Lepisosteus oculatus: one gene and its partner. The protein of the gene in region 1 interacts with the protein of each later gene in a biochemical or structural test. Links are inferred from orthologs where the notes say so. Each region holds a gene or a part of one and is shown on either strand. Other genes may lie near its edges.

Evidence for each region. The genes of interacting proteins can lie anywhere in the genome.
Region 2: the proteins of arf1 (region 1) and arfgap1 form a complex in vitro, tested with the Homo sapiens proteins (2 studies listed by BioGRID, with this or other methods). The link is inferred for Lepisosteus oculatus from reciprocal best matches to the Homo sapiens genes ARF1 and ARFGAP1.

Annotation. Positions count from the first base shown.
Region 1 is NC_090701.1:29,758,474-29,764,512, forward strand, and holds the start of arf1 (ADP-ribosylation factor 1), read right to left. Parts: upstream 3,285-6,039; 5' UTR 3,199-3,284; exon of another isoform or gene 3,164-3,198; intron 1-3,163. UniProt on the Homo sapiens protein: Small GTPase involved in protein trafficking between different compartments. Modulates vesicle budding and uncoating within the Golgi complex. In its GTP-bound form, triggers the recruitment of coatomer proteins to the Golgi membrane.
Region 2 is NC_090711.1:9,712,751-9,718,789, forward strand, and holds the start of arfgap1 (ADP-ribosylation factor GTPase-activating protein 1), read right to left. Parts: upstream 3,801-6,039; 5' UTR 3,630-3,800; intron 1,807-3,629; 5' UTR 1,803-1,806; coding exon 1,743-1,802; intron 359-1,742; coding exon 249-358; intron 1-248. UniProt on the Homo sapiens protein: GTPase-activating protein (GAP) for the ADP ribosylation factor 1 (ARF1). Involved in membrane trafficking and /or vesicle transport.

The DNA.
Region 1 (6,039 bases):
AAACGGTTAGAAAAAGAGGCACAACTGCCTCCTGCATACATTGAAACTAGGCCTTCCAATCTCTTTTGTTTGCACAAAACAATTGCTAACCCACTGTCAAATGACTTAGCCATCAGTAACATGTAGCACGTGGAGGAGGGGGGGGATTAAATCATAGAACAGACCTAGTTATGGTTGAAAAGAAAGTCTTTCACATACACACAAAAGCAGAAGCTGACAAAGTTGTTCTAACCATGTTCCACAAGAATTCCACTGTAAGCAGAAGCAACAGTAGCATAATCCAGCCTGGTTACAATTGTACTGAGGGAAATGTGTCTAAAGAGTTTTCACTTGGACCTAAAACCAAGAATGCTTATCTATCTATCTAAGGAAACTTCAGAGACAATTATGGAATAAAATGGCAAAAACAAAGCATTCCTAATAATGAAACATTTATAATAATGTAATGTATAATAATGTTTCTTTATTAGCCCTATACAATTTCTTGCATTAGGAATTTGTCTTTTCGCATACCCCAGCTTTTCTCCATGGAGACACAGACACACAGACACAGGGAGAGAAGCTTGGGGTCAGAGCGCCCCTGGAGCAGTTAGGGTTAAGGGCCTTGCTCAGGGGCCCAACGGAGTAGGATTCCTCTGCCGGCCACGGGATTTGAACCGGCAACCTTCCAGTCACAGGCGCAGATCCTTAGCCACAGAGCCACCGCTCTGCCCCGTATACTATTTATACTAGTATACTTATCAAAAGTAATAGTATACAAAAGCAGCATTGTACACGTATGTATACTGAGACCATGACTGTTATTTTCTTATGGCATACTATATCTGACTAATTAATGATAATGATAATGAATGCAAGCTACAAAGGGAAAAATATTTCTGCATTAAGTATTGTGTTCCATCAAGAGTTTACTTTTTCAAGACCACCAGTATTTCCACAGTATGGATGAAAGCATCTGAAAAACACACTTTTAGGTTTTTTGCCACCTTGTAAAAACAAAAAAATAACATATACTATCAGGAACTGTTGATGGCAAATGATGTGCTTATTACTGCATGAATAAATTCTGCACATCCATACATACTAGACAGTGTTGGATTCTGAACAACTCACTGATCACAGGATTAATTCAATCACCCCTCTTTCACAGGTCTTCTTGTAGTTGTTACATTTCCTTAATTCACATTCCAAAAGGGGCCTTTTATTGCCAACTCCAGCTCTAGCACAAGAGTAAAATACCCCTATGTCTTGTTTAAGAAATAAATATCAGATAAGTAGAACTAAAAACTAGATAACTTGTTTAGTGATGTTACCCCACAGAAATTCTGCTTTTTCAGTTATGCAACACAGATGTCTGCGAGTTATAACTGGTTTGTTATGAAGAATGCTTCATGGCCGGCTATACAGCCCAGTGCTACGTTTAGGTAGATGTAGACCAAAATGTCAGATTTTTTTTATAGCATGGAATTCAAGTGATAAAACAAGATGTCGGAAGCTTGTGGGGTGTCCTGGTCTTGCACCTCTTCCCAATATATTTTTCTGAACTGACAAGTTGACAGCATTTTACAAGCAATCAGAAGATTGTGCATCCTACAAAAGCTTAAAAAATGGAGGCTATTAAATTAATTCATTGACAAGCTACCCAAAAATACACCGTCAAAAAAAGGTTTATAGCAAAAAAGTTGAATATACCCCATGGACTGTATGAAGTAGGCTAAACAACTTGAAATGTTAATTCAATTATTTCCAGCTAAACATCTCTCCATGTTAAGGACTATACTTTCATGTGAAGATGGTACAGCTGTGGGTGAGGGCATTTGCATTCCCCAATGATGGTAAAAATCAGTTAGCTGAAATAACCACCCACCTAACAGTGAGGTCATTTCAGATGTTTCAACACAGCTCCACATAGCTGCACAAGGAAAAAACACCTCAACAAGTTAGGGCATGGAAGAAATTAACGTGGTGTCAGGTCTGAAGATGTCTTAGGGAAAGTGCACTAAGGAAAGGAGGCACGTCTTCACACAAATAGTGGTGGGACAAGGTAGCGAGCTATGTTGTTACAGCTGCTGCCTTGGCTTCTTTTAAGAAACAGCTGGATGAGATCCTCCAATGAACTCCTAACATATGTACAGGCTAGATAAGCCGAAAGACTTCATTTTAAACCTCTCACACGCTTATTTGCTATTGTCATCCTATTAAGGAAATAAAACAGCTAGCATATTGTTCACACTCTCAAATTGCTAGGCCTTTGAAAGTGATCACGGAATGTTCCACTCTGTGTGTGTGTGTGGGGGGGGGGACTCTGAAAAATAAAAAAAAGACTTCAATGGAAATGGAAGAACGCTGGCGGTAACTTAATAGTACTGGCAAATGATCAGTGATAAGCAAAATACGTTATTTCAAAACCGCGCCCAGGTTTCTATGCTGAGATCTTGACTTGCCTGAAGCTTATTTTAGCCAGGGGAAGGCAATGCGATAGGAACAACCACGACTGTAGCCTGTAGAGAACGAAACGATGGTTTTGCGATGCTGGGCCAGGAGTCGGGCTTGCTAGCCTCCTGCACTGCCCAGCGCTCGCGCTGCCTCCAAGGGCTCACCAAGGTTCCGGTTCCGCGTGCTGACGTTCCGCAGTCCCACAAAGGAACAGGACCGTCTTAACACAACGGCTGCAAATTACGCGGCTTCCCCAAACCCATTACTAAACTGCTAAATCCCCCTCCAATGCACTTTACATGCATCCAATTTGAAGATCATTATTACAGTCACAAACACTACATTTTCCTGAAAACACAGAGGAGGCAGCCGAGGAGACTCGGGCCTAATGACCATGGACATCGTCTCACAAGGAAAACAGTTGCAATAACTTCGGCCGATTTCAGTTTTACAGTTGAATCCAGCCGGGATTGTTTCCTGGGAAAAACGCATTTTTGTTGTTCCGTACCATGTTACTGTGAGCATTATCACAGCAAGACAGCCGTAAAACACCTTGAGAAGAAAAGGCCAATCGGCCGTTTTCTCCTTATCGCGTCCGTCCTGAAAACCGGCCCGGTGTTACTGTCAAATTTGAAACCTTGCGACTGCCCGCCCACGTACTTCTCCCGAGTTTCAGCTGGCTTGTGCTCTCAAACGTATGTAATATATGGGATTTTTCATGTCATACCATTAAAAATTAAGTAAATTCACCATCCACCTTACCACCACACAGCACCGCTCGCTTCCTCTTCAAGGCGTTCCCACAAGATGGCGGCTCCCTGTGGCCACGTCAGTGCACCGGATCTTCTTGGGGGGAGAGGAAAAATTTAGCAAATACACCACCCCCTCGAGAGCAGCTCTCGGAAACCGGGAAAACGCGGCGGCGTGGAGGACTTACTGCACGAGTTGGAGGGTGTCCAGACCAAGACTGATATGCCAGTTTGTTTAGCATCGTGTCTGTCAGTTTAGCAAAGATCACATTTGGTAAATTGCTTTGACTGGTAAATGTTTTCTAGGCTAATAGTACATTATGAAACGTGTATGTTCTATTAATTCATTTTTTATTAATGGAACACAAGTCAAATAATATCAAATAATGATAGCTGATGTGTGGTGAGCGTTCTGGCGCACTATGGCTGCCGTCGCATCATCCAGGTGGATGCTGCACATTGGTGGTGGAGGGGCGTCCCCATTACCTGTAAAGTGCTTTGAGTGGAGTGTCCAGAAAAGCGCTATATAAGTGTAAGCAATTATGATTAATTATTATTATTAAGTAATTCTTCGATGTCCCGAATGCTACCAGAATAACCGAATGACTGTTATAGTTCTAATTCAATAATATATGAACTACTGAATTCTTGCAAGACCAAAAACGTTCTATTCTTTTTCTTGAGTATACATTGTTATATGTGTTTGTGTATTGTAAATACTATTCCAAATACAAATACAATGACTCCCCCCCTCCTTGACTCGCAAAACATCTGCAACAATTTAAAGGGGGCAAACTAGTTTTATTTTTTATTTTTATTTTTTGAATATAGTTTTATTTATTCTATAGTGTCAGAAGCTTTTCTACATGTAGTTCAAATCATTGTTCAGTCAATTCCAGTTAATTGAGTTCCGTTTTTGATTAGTATAACTCAGAAGATCTGTTTGAAGGTTTATAGTCAGCTATCACATACTATCTCATCAGTAGGAAGACATGTGTTTCTTGCCAGACAACATGATGCTGCTGACCTACAATTACAGTACTTATTCTTTGAAACATTGCAAAAATAGAAAAAACGATTAAGGTGAAGAAACCATGCCTTTCAACTTGCTATCCTTTGTCACCTGACAGACCATAGAAATCTCCTACATCTGGCTTTCTATTTCTTTTCTGTCTTCTTCTGTACATTTCCGATGTAAATTTAAATTGGAAACCATTGGGAATAGACAAAACTTAACTTAAAATCTCATTGGTCTATGATTTCAAGATGATAGTTTTTACCATCTATCACATCATTTTGTTAACCGTTGTTGAACAGTTTTTGCAGGGACACGCAGAAACACTTTCATCACCCTGCAGCCTAAGCACCACTCTGGCATGGTTCAGGGAAATATAATCAATGAGGTGTAAGAAACAAGTCACATGCTCCAGTAGCTTCAGAAACTAGTATATTACAGACTGAAAAATGGCTGGAACAATTGGATTGCTATATTGCACAGTTACAATTGTATAAACCCTGACGTACTTACACCCAGACACTTGGAAACATCTTTCAGTTGTTAGTGTCTGTGAGAAAACCCACTACTTTGGCAAACAGCTCCTTCACTTTAGGAAGTGGGTAAGCGTGTGCTTCCATACAGCAACCCACTGTGATTTTATAACATCTGCAGTTCTGCAATGATACCTCTGCTTTTAGCATTACTGCATCGGGGACTTTTCTCAGGGCGTATGGTAAACGCTTTGCCTTGTAAAAGTGGGATTGCAGTCTGACTAAAAACATACTCCATCTTACATTTCTCCAGGGTGTGTTCTACTGTCATCAGGTATTTTACTCCCAGTCTAAATGAATGGGCGTTAACCTGACTCTTTCTGGCAAAGGCTGATGGGATTATGGAAGAAGCTCCATGTTGTTAAAGACCATACTCTGGCTTCTTTCAAGAAACAACTGGCCGATCATTTAACTACGAATTTCTCTAGATCTGGACTTGATATAGATGGGCAGAATGGACTCCTTGTGTTCTAATATTGGATTGTTTCCTTTTTCAACCAATAAACTAAAGCAAATCGGATTATAAAATACTGGCACACCAAGCTTCCCAACTAGAGTAATTTTCTCTCCCAAATTTATTCTCAGCTATAAAGATGTCTACTCTGAAACGCAGGTGTGCTAAACATTTAAAGTAAAGTGTTTCTGGCAGCTCCTATATCAACTTGCATTTCAAATAGGATTCCCTAAAGGCTCACTTGCACTTTTATTCCCATTTCATTGTCACTCACAGAAAAACTATACACACCCTGAGACTTGCATTAGCCACCAGTGCTTTCTTTATTCCTTTCTGCAATGAGCATTTCTGCATCTGTGAATTCTGCATGCTTTCTGTACCAATGCAGCTTTAATATCTATAACGGGTGTTTGATAAAAGAAATCTATAGTGGTAAAAGGTATGGTGTGAATGCTTTTGTATGTATATTTTATTTTAAATAAGCATTTTTTATAAATAACATTTTTCATAGGCTAAAACAAAAACTTTTGAAAATGAATCATAAATAAAAAATAAAACAGACCTTTCATTTGAGGTGTAGTGAAAGATTCCATTTGAATGTTTTGTTTAATTTTGTAAGGGAATAATCACCATCAACTGTGAAAAAGAATCCAGCTCATTTTTGTGCATACTTTCCATCCAGTCTTTATTTAATATATATTTACAATTGCTTTTGTATCTCCTATTTTAAAATATTTCTGTTCATTAGAATCCATCAGATTTTAATGACTCTTTCCATAATGACATTAATTATCCTGTAAGCTAATGATCCTTATTTTTATGAGATAATTCATTTTAAATTGCATAACTTTG
Region 2 (6,039 bases), on another chromosome or scaffold:
TGTGGTTTGAAATGCACTCATCAATGCTAATACCTGCTCTCCTCGAAATATGAAAATGGTGTTGCAATTCCGTTTTAATTACTGGGAGGGTACAAACTAATGATATCAAAACCACTAGGTAACAAAAACAGAAGGCCCACACGCTGACGCAACTCCCCACTCGAACCCTTGAACTTCCTTCGGAATGTTCCTGCTATTCTCCGGGCCCAGGAGACACCCCTGAAAAGGCGGCTCGCAGGTCGACTCACCTGAGGTGGACCCCCAGGCCCCTGTGCTTGCCAGAGCACTCGAGACAGATCCAGATCCCGTACGTCACGCTCACCCACTGGGGGTTAAACGCCCCGCACTCGAAGCACGTCTGGATAAAGCAGGAGCAAAAGGAGAAGTGATTGCGATACCGGCACTGTATTAGGTCAGCCTCCATTAAAACAGCATTTCCCTAACCTCCTCTCTGAAACACTACATTGCTATCTATGAGCAAAATCGACCTTTCTTCTCGGGGATCTAAGCTAAACACCAAGTCAGCCTGTTGACATGGGAATGTTATTTGCCCCCCAATATAATGCAAGGATGTTACAAATTCTGCCACATCCATTTTGCTGTCTCATTAGTAATCATCCCAGATACCCATAAACTTCCATGACTCTCCATTAAGTAATAGTGGTAAATTGAGGATGTTAATTCCATTTATAGCTACTGATGCCACTAATCACTTGGCATCTCTTAACTGGGATGTGCTTAACAAGCAGTGCTCCAAGGGGCTTGCTCTGACTAAGCATTTATGGTAACATGGGAGGCTGTTTTATGTCTCTATAGCAGTGATTACCAGTCCTGGCTCTACTGACCCTTACACTTGCAGGTGTTCATCCCATTCTCAGCTTAATTAGATAATTGAAGCCTTAACAGATCTAAAAATGTTGCTTCATTTGATTATTTGCATTTTCTTTTTAGTCACAAATTGGGGATTTTATTTCACTTACAAAATACAACAGATAAAGCTTAGCATGTTTAAGAACTGGGGATGAACAGTCCAGATTAATCTTATTATTAAGTAAATGAAGGGCTTGATTGTGTAACTCATCCGGAACCAAACCCAACAGGTGTGTGGGTCACCAGGACCAGGATTAGGAACCACTGGTCTAAGGTGTACCACGCACTCAGAAATGCCTGTGATCTCCCGTGAGAAAGGAGGTGACTCTCTCAGCTCAGCTTTCCAGAGAGCTTTTCATAACACATTTCAAAACAATGCCAAGCTGTCTTGTATCCACCCAAGACAGAACAAGCACTTGGTTTATGAAAGGTTCTGCAGAAGTGCACGGGTATTGCTGATCGTATTACAAATACTGTGTAATTTAAAGCAAGTTAATATACAATTAATAAAGCAATTTAAAGCAAGTTAAAATGTTTAAGATGAAGAATCAAACTGTTAGTACTCGTTTGTTAAACAGAACCCAACTTAACTATCCTCACTCTCCTATGATCTGTACACCAGCAAGGCATCTCCTTAGGCTATCAGCTCCCATCACTCAGAGCTCAGCAGAAAGCCTTTCATAGCTGTGTGTAGCATGCTTCTTACTGGGTGCACCACATTAGCGTGCTTCAACACAGTGAAACCTTTACATACGTCTCACAGATTACATTAATTGCAAAAGGGCACTAGTGTACCAGGAAAAAGTGAATATTATTCTTAACATGCGATTTTAGGACTGTAATAATTTCAAGGACCATAAAGCGAAACTCACGTTGTTTTCATCTTGGGTTCGGACTTCCTTCAGAACGCGTCTTGTCCTCGGACTAGCCATTGTCCTGAAGAGAAAAAAAATGTATAAACAATCATATTCTAAAAAAATATGCTGTTATCTTCGAAAACAAACTCCACTGGCCTGCAGACCATCAAGCAACTGGAAACAGGAGCTCAGAGGGGGCAGATGAAGGTGGTGTCACAACATGAGCAGTGGCTATACAGGAAACACGACCAGCTGGCATTAAAACAAAGTGGAGGTCAGCAGATTCCTCAATGATATACAATGTTACTCATTCTGGAAACTAGATCATCTTTTAATTTTTTCATCCAATTCAGGGTTGCAGGGGAGCTGGAGCCTATACTAGCAAGCAATAGGCACAAGGCAGGATACACACTGGAGGGGGACGTCAGTCCATCGCAGGACACACAGACACACCCAGGGCAATTGTCCCAGAAGCCAATTAGCCTACATACTGTAGGTCTTTCACCTGTGGGAAACCTATGTGAGCACAGAGTGAAGATACAAACTCCATATGATAGGCTCAATGATACATTACAACAGACGACATCACACAATGTAACTGTACATTACAAAATGCTGCATAATAAATAGGAGGCCTTTTAAATAAATAGGTCTTTTTAACCCCTCAAGTATTAAAGAGCCAAGAAAGTTGGCAACTGTGATTCATTATGGATACAAATTGCAGTGCATAAAGTATTGAGGAGATTTCTCCGTTGAAGGAAGTTACCAGATGAAAATAGACTGCTACAGCATAAAGGCACTTGCAGGAGTTCTCCAATCAATGGGCAGTTACACAAAGTACTGAGGACATGGCATCCTGTTCGTATGTCTGAAGAATACTAGCAATGGGTAATACGTGATACCTTCATGTCGCCTTTACTTTTTTAGAGCTTTAAACGGTCAGAAACAGAGCAATACAAAAAAAAAACGATTTTATACAAATACCACGAAAGTAGCAGAAACAAATCTCTAAAGGTCCATTTCAGGATTGCCCACATAAATTGGTATTTGTTTAATAAAGGATGCTCGTCCCTTCTTATTACACTCGCGCAGCAGTGACAGATCAGCAAGTTTCATTTTTTTTTCTCAAATTAAGGCGTGCTTGCGGGTTTCTTTCCGGTGATGACGCACGGACTTTTTGGCTTGTCGGGAGATGCGCCTCGGCTCCGATCCTATAAATTAAACATCCCGGCCACCGCAACTCGCGATGGAATCGACAGCAATGGTCGAAAAGCGTTTGGTTTGTCAAGACTCTGAGCCGCCGATAGAGGTGGATTACACCTGTAGACCCGTTTTGTATGGATGTAATTTTACTGCCCACAGACTGAGGGAAGCGACTTGAACCGATTTTGTTCATCGTAGAATTTGTTTAACTCAGGATCGCTTAATTCAAATCTAGCAACATTTTTACCACTGAAGTAGCAATAGACGGGATATGAAATCAACAACATTCTACACAACACCGCATTTCCAATATAGACCAACAGGCTTTATTAAATGCAAGTGCATTAGTTACTGCTTAAAATACATAAAGAACTAATGTTATTAAAAGCCCTGCAACCCCTGTAAATCACATTTTTATGTCATTTTCATATAGGGAAATTCGTGGTATGTATTGGCGACCGGTATAAAAAAAAATAAACGCAGCATTATAGTACAAAAAAAATATTTTGCTCCAGGAGAGGAGAGGACAAGCTACACGTAAATGAAGCACGAACACTCATTTATAACTGTACATTGTCTTTGATCTGCCTTCAGCACACAAGATGTGCGCTAATTTAGAGAACAGACCGGTATCTACCAAAAGCTAACAATTACCCACAGAAAGCATGCTCCTTTTACAGCAAAAATTACGTTTCTTACCTTTAACTTGGGGTACGAAGTTCAAAGTGAAAAATACGACGCAGGCCCTCGCTGGGAAAGAAGCTGTCTTGGTAAATTCTGTTAATTATATTTTAAAAAGTCCCTAAGAGTGTTGTATCAGACAACAGCCATGTTGTCGGTGCCTACCTGCCTACGTTGCAAAGTGCAATGCATTTCGGGTAAATTGGTAGCGTGTACAAAATTAACCCTTTTCTGTGACACGAGGTAATGCCGTCTTCTAGGGTCTAAGCACTGGGTGTCGCCCTTAGCTCATCAAAACAATTTGGGAAAAAAATATTCATGCCAATGTACCAAGAAAATAAAAATGCGTGAGTCTTTCGGCTTTGAAGTAGGACAGTCGCTGGAAACAGATGCACAGGCGTAAAAGAAAAAACGTAAAGAACACAAAATATTACAAGGATTCACCAAGAGTAGAAATGGCAGAATTAAAAATATGAAGTTAAATTAATATAATTTGCCAAGTAAAAGCCCCACAGCCAATAAATCATACGCCATTTGGTGTCTGTCCGATATTGAATTTTGTGCTTTTCTGCATTTACAACTTTCTTATTCTTGTGTTCTGAAAATGTGAAAGATCTAATCTACAGTCAGAGTCGGAGTCTAACTGACCTAGGGGGCTGGGTGCAGACTAAGATACCTTCTGATTGCTCTAGTTTGCATTCATTTTCAGTAATTGCTATTATAAAGAAAAAAGGCTAGTTTTTTTTTTTGTTCTACTAAAGCACCTGTTCAGACACCTTTTATTATCTAAAAAAAAATATGTAATTACTTTCCATTGTGTAAGCCATACCATTTTTTTTTAATTTGAGGCTCAGTTCTTTGCATGGATTTGTCCTTTTTGTTTTGATCTCTTGTTCTGCTTTGAAAAATAAAATTTGCTAAACAGCAAAAACTGGAAATCAGCTTGAGCAGGCATGGACACTGTCAGGCTTGTGAAGTCAGTGGATACCATAATACCAATGGATGCCATAATTGAACATTAAATTAAAGGCTTTTTTTTGTTCTGAGCTTTGGAAAAAGCTCAGTGAAGTCATTTCCCCAGAGCAATGAGCCAGCTAACATTCAAAATACAGAGAACTATACTGCCTGATTTTTAATAGCTGTCTCATACCCACCTTGGGTTAAGTGGTGGTGATTCTAAAGGCGAATCATGGTCAGGGTGAGATCTCACAATGCAACTGTGTCACTCAGCAACCCACACTTTGAAGACTGGTTACAAAGTTAGGGGTGCCAATCATGGGAGCATCAGGTAGCAGGAGTGCACATCATGTCTCACCTCCAAATCTGATATAAGTAAGTTTTTTTAAATAATTCCGCAAGAGGTATTCCAGATAATGTAAGCAAATAAAAATTAAATTATTTCCATTCCATGCAATCATCTCTGAAAAACTATGTAACAATGGTCTCTGAGATTCTTGAGTGCCTCTTCCTCTGTGTGTTGTTGACTCTGAAGGCCAAATGAAGCTTTGGGCAAACTTGATCAGTTTGAGCCCAGGAATTTAGGTATCTGAAGGAGATTGCACACTGCCAGCTGAATAAATGATTTTATGATTGTAATCACTGTTGGTGTGAACTTTGCTTGGTATAGAAAACATACTGTACACTGGGCCTTGAAGTTAAGGAGTCATAAATTAACCGAATGGTGTACAGTAATTGATACAAATTCGCATTTAAAGACTGGAAGGACAGGAGCTAGGACCAGGACACAACCTCTTTAACAAAGCAAACTGTCTCAGACAAAAATAACTTTCTTTTTGAAATCTGTTTTCTTGCTCACTATGTTCAGTATCTGCTTAGCTCATTGTCTGTATCTGCAATATGTATTTTTTTTTCCTTGCGAGATAATTATTCAGCATTAGTGTGAAACAAGGATGACAACATTTTTAATTGACTCTTTTTTATTGGCCAATTGAAACTGCAGGCCATTTAGTATCACTTAGTAACAGTGCTCTTATTATAGTATATACTGTATATAACTCAGGTTATATGGATCTCAATGTGAGCTAATTAACACCACAAGACTCTAAGTGCAATAAGTCCCCTGTTTTATTTGTAGACATTGTTTCAAAAACAAGGTTTTCACAGTACAATTACTTCAATATTCCAGAGATACAAATATTTGTCAATGTACTTTGGCAAACACAATGAAGATAACATTTTAAAAATCATCTTCATGATATCCTCAAATTATGATGTTGCTAGCAAACAATTGTAACCACAGTTCTGTTTTAAAATGTCTGTATTTAAGGAAAAATGTTTACTTGTAGGCTGTTTAAACCTTTTTGGTTAAATGCCTTTTCTAGATTTTTGTTTAAAAAAGGATGGAAAACAGCCTTTATTCATGGAGCTTGTTTCTGCAGTGGAAAAGTTTCCTCCTAGCACTGTTCAA